Linked DNA regions of Saccharomyces cerevisiae S288C. The gene in region 2 interacts genetically with the main gene of each other region. Each region holds a gene or a part of one and is shown on either strand. Other genes may lie near its edges.

Region 1 (3,570 bases), on a different chromosome or scaffold from region 2:
CATCAGTTATTTGAGAAACGGCAGCGGCAGTAGACTTAGCAGCTTGAACTTGACCGTCAGTTATTTGAGAAACGGCAGCGGCAGTAGACTTAGCAGCTTGAACTTGACCGTCAGTTATTTGGGAAACAGCAGCGGCAGTAGACTTAGCAGCTTGAACTTGACCGTCAGTTATTTGAGAAACAGCAGCAGCGGTGGATTTCTTAGAAACAGCAGCAGTAGTAGTGGCAGCCTGTACTTGACCATCACCTATCTGAGAGGCGGCTCTCTTTGCTTTAGATGAGGCGACGGAGGAAGCACTGGTAGCCACGGCTTCAATAGCAATACCGAAACTCGAAGAGTAATCTGTTATACCACCCTTGTAAGTAGCTGATGGAGTTAAAGTGGACCACGGGTCCTTTGGAGCATAGGCAGCTAAAGATGTAGCAGCTAAAGCGGAGACGACTAATGGCTTTTTATATTGCATTTTTACTTATAAACAGTACTTGTTTTATGAGATTTCTTATTGATGTAAATGTAATAATTATCTAAAGAAATCTTAGGTTACAGTTTCAGTGTTAGACAAAACAAGACACAAATCAATAGAGCATGCTAAATGACGAGAATCTTATATAGGCTTGATTTGGCGCATGTTGTAATGAATGGAGTAGGGATAATCCTGGAGATGCATGATTTATCCCTTCTATTTCAGTCGACGGCGAAATATGCCAAATTTAGAAAGCCCTCGGCCTTTGATCTATAATTAGTTTGCTAATCGTTTGATCCCCTTTAACTTGCAATAACTTTTCCCGATGAGGTAAAAATACAGCTTAACCGCCAAGAAATTGCGCGGGGCCAGAAATCAAATTTAAAGGAAGTAGTGTACAATAAGGTCGATTTACTCCTTCAACTACTACTACATTCGGAAATGGTTGCTCGGTTCCGAATAAGGTCTCTTACGCTAGCTTCCCGGTGACCTTACCGATCTATGCCCGTAAAGTATTTTTGCAATTGTATTCTGTACAAAAGTTGTCTTTTGGATGCATTTTTCACACATTTGCATCAATGAAAGTCCGAATGCGCCTATCATCCCGTTGTTGTCTTAAGATTATAAGAAAGTACATGGGCAAAAACACGATAATAGTAATGTAGTGACTCCCGTTTAGAATAAAGAGCTGCGCACATACCTAAAATGGTTGCACATTTTAGAAACCTACTCGGTGGCACGTGAAGTGGTATACATTTAGTTAATAGTTAAATAATTTTCGTACAGAATATCGCACCGTCTCTTAGCATAACAGTGTATCTCACAATCTTTGTTCCTGTTACTAGAGCGAAAACTTAATGATCTAGTTATATCTTCTTTTGTCCCCTCTTGGCCCCTCAATAATGTTTTATTTAGCACCAGCACTTTTCTCATTTGGTTTTTCTTTTTTTTCTAATATATTCTGCCTTTCCTATTTAGGTAATAATTCCTCGAAGCCAGACGCCTTTTTCGGCTACTTTTTTGACAGCTGCTGCCCCTTTAATGAAACGGTTGGTCGAAAAGGAGTCAATGTATATCTCATATGAAATATGCAAAGCATTCCTGTCATCGGAAAATGACGTGGCTTGGAGCGCATAAAAATGGAGAGATCGGCCAGCTTGCTCTTAATTATATCATCATTTATTATTAGCAGCCTTTTTATGTCCTGCCAATTATAGAAGCAACGCTAATAAAAGAAATTGAGATGGCGGACGTAAATCCTTCTTGGAGCTCGATTACTTGCTTTAATAATACGATGGACCATCATTTAGCCCATGTATCTGAAAGGGTTTAGACTGTGTCCAGTCAATCTCTCCTGCCCAAATATTAGAACGCTGGTATACTAATTATTCTTTCAATAAGAAGATCGTAATGCTACAATTCTCACATATAAAAAGGAGCAAGATCTTTACTACTTTATGCATAGTTGTCCTATCTTCTCTATTACTGTATAAGAATAATATCATCAAGAAAACAAAAGTTAATACACTGGTATTAAAAAAAAACAAACTACAAAACTCCCCTAATAGTATATTCTAGAAAATGCAATACAAAAAATCATTAGTTGCCTCCGCCTTAGTTGCTACATCTTTAGCTGCCTATGCTCCAAAGGACCCGTGGTCCACTTTAACTCCATCAGCTACTTACAAGGGTGGTATAACTGATTACTCTTCTACTTTCGGTATTGCTGTTGAACCAATTGCCACTACTGCTTCCTCCAAGGCTAAGAGAGCCGCTGCTATCTCTCAAATTGGTGACGGTCAAATCCAAGCCACTACCAAAACCACTGCTGCTGCTGTTTCTCAAATTGGTGACGGTCAAATCCAAGCCACTACTAAAACCAAAGCTGCTGCTGTCTCTCAAATTGGTGACGGCCAAATCCAAGCCACCACCAAGACTACCTCAGCTAAGACTACCGCTGCAGCCGTCTCCCAAATTGGTGACGGTCAAATTCAAGCCACTACTAAAACCAAAGCTGCTGCTGTCTCTCAAATTGGTGACGGTCAAATCCAAGCCACTACCAAAACAACTGCTGCAGCTGTCTCTCAAATTGGTGACGGTCAAATCCAAGCCACTACTAAAACCACTGCTGCTGCTGTTTCTCAAATTGGTGACGGTCAAATCCAAGCCACCACCAATACTACTGTTGCTCCAGTCTCCCAAATCACTGATGGCCAAATCCAAGCCACAACTTTAACTTCTGCAACCATTATACCATCTCCAGCTCCAGCTCCAATTACTAATGGCACTGACCCAGTAACTGCTGAAACATGTAAAAGCAGTGGCACTTTAGAAATGAACTTAAAGGGTGGTATCCTGACTGACGGTAAAGGTAGAATTGGTTCTATCGTTGCCAACAGACAATTCCAATTCGATGGTCCTCCACCACAAGCTGGTGCTATCTATGCTGCTGGTTGGTCCATCACCCCAGAAGGTAACTTGGCCATCGGTGACCAGGATACTTTTTACCAATGTTTGTCAGGAAACTTCTACAACTTATACGATGAGCACATTGGAACTCAATGTAATGCAGTCCACCTACAAGCTATCGATTTGCTCAACTGTTAATCATAAGTTTACCTCTCATAGTCGCATGAAAACATAAAGTCATCGTAGCATATTCTGTACATTAGTCATTTCTGTCTCCAAAGGGCATAATTTGGGTCGGTTCATTTTTTTCTTCTTAATTCGTCTCTTCATTTCATAAAGCTTTCTTTTGAAACCTATGAAATGAGCTTTACAGTTCTTCACTCTTTTTTTTAAAGTTTGTTTATTTTTTTATACTATATACATTATTATTTCTAAAAAATCATTATAAATTACGTTAAAAGCGCACCTTATACTTTGATAGAGTTTTCCCAGAAAAAAAACCAACGAATTTGATAGTACCAAGACTTCACGGGATTGAAATCGGATGCAACTTCAACTATTCCTGGGACAGAATATTTCTCAGACATTACTTTGTGTACCGTGGAGCCCTTTCTCATTTGAGAAGGAAACAAATTGTTGTCATCTTATAATGCCATATATTCGTCACTATCTCAGTCAAAATTTAAGAAAATTGACAT
Region 2 (4,245 bases):
CCATATGCGACAGCCCACTAGCTTTCTCCCCACGTCAACTACGCACTGCGGAAAAGGCCAAAATGTCCCGAATGATGCGGGATGACGACACGCATGCCGGTGGAGCGGTCATGACCAAATTTGTGCGCGCAACTGGCGCTTGTCTAAGTTGAATAGCCAATAAGATGAGAGTATTGCCCGCCCAATGTCGCGGGTCAACCCGCGACATTGGGCGGCTAGATTAGAGGCGTGGCCAGGCGGTTCATTTGTCGTACAAAATGGCAAAACACGTGACGCTGTGTCTCCTCGTGTGCGATCGCAGTACAGATCTGGCGTTCTCGGAAACGGCACATGCGCTCAAGAGTGATATCGTCCGGGCGGATTTCGCAATACAGCAAATTGCGCAACTTAGTGTTATACCCGTCAAACACAGGTCCCTCTAATAATAGGCCTTGTGCGGGCGCCCTCGGAATGTATTTCCTAGGCCCGGCGTTAAAATAGTTACGTACAATATTAGGCGGCAATTGGCAACGGGCTGCAAGTACGGCAAGCGCTACCATTCGTCGAATCTGATGCAACATAAACGACTGCCCGTGGATCCGCACACATATCCATCCCGGTGAGGCCTGCGACACTACAACCTTTTTGATATGGCGCTGAGCACTAGGATCCCCCCAAAGCTTTCCTGTGGTAAAGTTGTGAAAATTATGCGTTCCCACGTACTCCTGCATGGCTGCCTCAAACGCGTCCAGCTTCGAGGGCGACAAGCAGTAGCCGCTAAGGGTACCGCTCAATAGCCCCACGTAGTCTTGTACCAAAGGATCGCTCTCGCTTAGTTTCTGTGCAGTGTCCTGCAAACGGCACAGCTCATCCCCGCTAAATCTCCCACGCGTCTGTTCCAGGAACGTATCCCACACCTCTTGCGAGCCGTCTTCGCGGTAGCATCCCCCCACGTTTCGATGCAAAAGAGAACTCCGGGGTGGACCAATGAGTATAAATTCTGGGATAAGGTATTGGTACCATCGAGAATCGCACGCGGATCTAGCATTAAACTTTTTATTGACAGGCTGGATACCCCACACGCGTATTTCGGGCGGTAGTGCGGCGTTTAACTTCGCTACTGTGTCCTCTCGCAATGTGATCTTTAGCGACAGTAGATTCAACATAGCGTGTACACCCTTGTCTGTTCTTGCCGCTGCCATAAAGGAATTTTTCTTCGGTGCCAATGAATTTTCTTCGGAAATGGCTCCTACGTCGAAGAGCTTGGTGAGAATCTCACCTTCAATCGTCTTGTGTGGTGGGTTGTATTGCATTCCATAGTATCCGCTGCCACAGTAACCTAAGAGCATAACGACCTTATGTTTACTCGGCCTTCTCTTTACTACCGCTGTTAACGGTGTCGGAGTAACCTCATCACTAGTACTACTACCATTTGTACTGAGCAGAACTGTTAATAAATGCTATGTTCACATCGATATATATACATATGTGTGTAAGGGGCTACAATTCATACATACGAGTATCTCTTTATTCTCTGGCCTGTAAATATTTGTCTTAAAACAGAGCTAGTCTTTAATGCCGTCTTTTTCATTTTCTTTTCTCGATGGGTTCTATTTCGCAATACAACCGCTCTTGCACAGCACAACCAAACCATATTCTTGAAATTTTCGAAAGGAAGCAAAAGTTCAAATCACTTACCACGGAATCATAAATTACAACTATAATAATAGCGGAATAGATATTAGTGATGAGTAGAAATACTTCTTCAGATCAGATTAAAGTATAATAAGACAAATGTCGCTTTTTTTCAAGCCAGTAATTTCACCACAGTGGTCTTTCCCCGTGCTTCTCAAGATAGGAGTGCGTTCTTATGCGGGAGGCCCAAGAACAAAGCATAAAGGAAACTCTCCATTAGCTTCAGTGCCTACAGGCAGTAGTAATAAAAACCGAAAACAGAAGGCCAAAGGCAAAAAAGGTAACAAAAAGAATGACCCTGACCAAGCATTCAACTTTGGAGAGTATGGTGGATTGAAAAAAGACGTCGAGATGAATATGGACAGTACGAATAAACTCATTCAAAAAATATCGAATTTCGACCAATTGCTTATACTTCCACCTGTCAGAGACGCTGTGAAAGAAATCATTTCCAAAGAGTCCCTGAAGCTACAAGATAGTAGGAAAAAAACCAGTGAAAATATAATACCGAGTCCCATTCAAACAGTGGCCATTAAGAGAATATCCAAAAATTTAATGGATCCAAAGTTACAAATACATGCGATTGCCGCTGAGACAGGTTCAGGTAAGACCATGGCCTACTTGATACCTTTAATAGACTATTTGAAAAGACAGGAGTTGGAAACTCCCGAATTATGGGAAACATTAAGAAAAAACGTTCTGATTCGGTCCATCATACTGGTGCCTACGCATGAATTGGTTGACCAAGTATACGAAACTGTTTCCAAGACGAAAACCTTGTTAGGCTTAAACTCTTTCAAGTGGGACAAGGCCACATCATATCGTGATTTATTAGAGAACATTAAAAATAGAATAGATATTTTAGTCACTACTCCGGGAAAACTACTGAACCTGTTCTCCATAAGAATGATAACTAGACCTGATAAAGTCTTGTCCAAAGTGGGTTTCGTAGTACTAGATGAAGCTGACACACTTCTAGATAGGTCATGGCTTGAAGAAACGCACTCCGCAATAAAGAGAATTCCTAACATTAATCACCTTATTTTCTGTTCCGCTACTATTCCTCAAGAGTTTAATAAAACAATGCAAAGACTATTTCCTACAGTGGTTCCTATAATGACACCCAGACTGCATAAGTTACCATTCGCTTTGGACTTTAAAGTTATAAATTCTGCCTTAAGTCCTTTCAAGGGATCCAAGATCAAAGCATTGGCACAAACTTTATATGCTATTTCAAATGATGACACGGAACCAGGGTTCGAGAAAAGATGCATTATCTTTGTTAACGAAAAAAAGAATGTTCCTGAAATTGTTAACCTATTGAATAAGAAATTCGGTCATAATGCCATCGGTTTAACTGGTGAAGATACATTTGAAGAAAGATCCGAGAAAATTATGCCCTTTTTATCACCACCGCGACCACTTTCGGAGGTGGTTGCTCAGAGTACTTCACCTCCCACTTCCTTGAAGAAATTTGAAATTCCTGATTCCAACATCGTCATCGGCAAATTGAAAAACACAAATTCTAATGGTACCGCACCCAGTAACAAGTCTTTGCATGTACTCGTAACCACCGACCTCATGGCAAGAGGGCTCAATTTCAAAGGTGTACGGAATGTTGTTCTCTACGATGTACCCAAAACGTCAATAGACCTGATACACCGAGTGGGCAGAACTGCTAGAATGAAACAGGGCGGCCGCGTATTTATGCTAACTGACAGTAAAACAAAATCTTGGGCTAAAGCTCTTCCAAAGATCATCAAAAAGCACCAGAGATTATCATGATAAATGTATATTCTTGTAAATATTATAACATATATACGAAAGGGTCACAATCACAGATACAATTTATAGATCGAGAGCCTTGCGTATAGCTTCTTTTTTTATAAACAAGTGCCTGGCTAGATGAACGCGCGAACAACAAAATAAATGATGTATTCATTTTAACATCAAAAGATTACGTTCGCCATTTAAGAAGTCACGAAATAGATACAGTAGTAAAGACAGATAAAAAAGAGTCGATTAGACAAGCAAAAATGATTGAAAAGGATAAAAGAACGATTGCTTTTATTCATCCAGACCTAGGTATTGGGGGCGCTGAAAGGTTAGTCGTCGATGCAGCATTAGGTCTACAGCAACAAGGACATAGTGTAATCATCTATACTAGTCACTGTGATAAATCACATTGTTTCGAAGAAGTTAAAAACGGCCAATTAAAAGTCGAAGTTTATGGTGATTTTTTACCGACAAACTTTTTGGGTCGTTTTTTTATTGTTTTCGCAACAATTAGACAGCTTTATTTAGTTATTCAATTGATCCTACAGAAAAAAGTGAATGCGTACCAATTAATTATCATTGATCAACTGTCTACATGTATTCCGCTTCTGCATATCTTTAGTTCTGCCACTTTGATGTTTTATTGTCATTTCCCCGACCAATTATTGGCTCAAAGAGCTGGGCTATTGAAGAAAATATACAGACTACCATTTGACTTAATAGAACAGTTTTCCGTGAGTGCTGCCGATACTGTTGTGGTAAATTCAAATTTCACTAAGAATACGTTCCACCAAA

Evidence for each region. A genetic interaction does not mean that the proteins touch.
Region 1: mutations in MRH4 (region 2) and PIR1 together harm fitness more than expected from each alone (negative genetic interaction), as found in Saccharomyces cerevisiae (one large-scale study listed by BioGRID).

What each region holds. Positions count from the first base shown.
Region 1 is NC_001143.9:141,294-144,863, reverse strand, and holds PIR1 (beta-1,3-glucan linked protein), read left to right. Parts: upstream 1-2,044; coding exon 2,045-3,070; downstream 3,071-3,570. Other genes in the region: PIR3 (beta-1,3-glucan linked protein), read right to left, coding at 1-463. UniProt on the Saccharomyces cerevisiae protein: Component of the outer cell wall layer. Required for stability of the cell wall and for optimal growth. Required for resistance against several antifungal and cell wall-perturbing agents and for tolerance to heat shock.
Region 2 is NC_001139.9:380,737-384,981, reverse strand, and holds MRH4 (ATP-dependent RNA helicase), read left to right. Parts: upstream 1-1,773; coding exon 1,774-3,459; downstream 3,460-4,245. Other genes in the region: pseudouridine synthase PUS2, read right to left, coding at 216-1,328; ALG2 (GDP-Man:Man(1)GlcNAc(2)-PP-dolichol alpha-1,3-mannosyltransferase), read left to right, coding at 3,711-4,245. UniProt on the Saccharomyces cerevisiae protein: ATP-binding RNA helicase involved in mitochondrial RNA metabolism. Required for maintenance of mitochondrial DNA.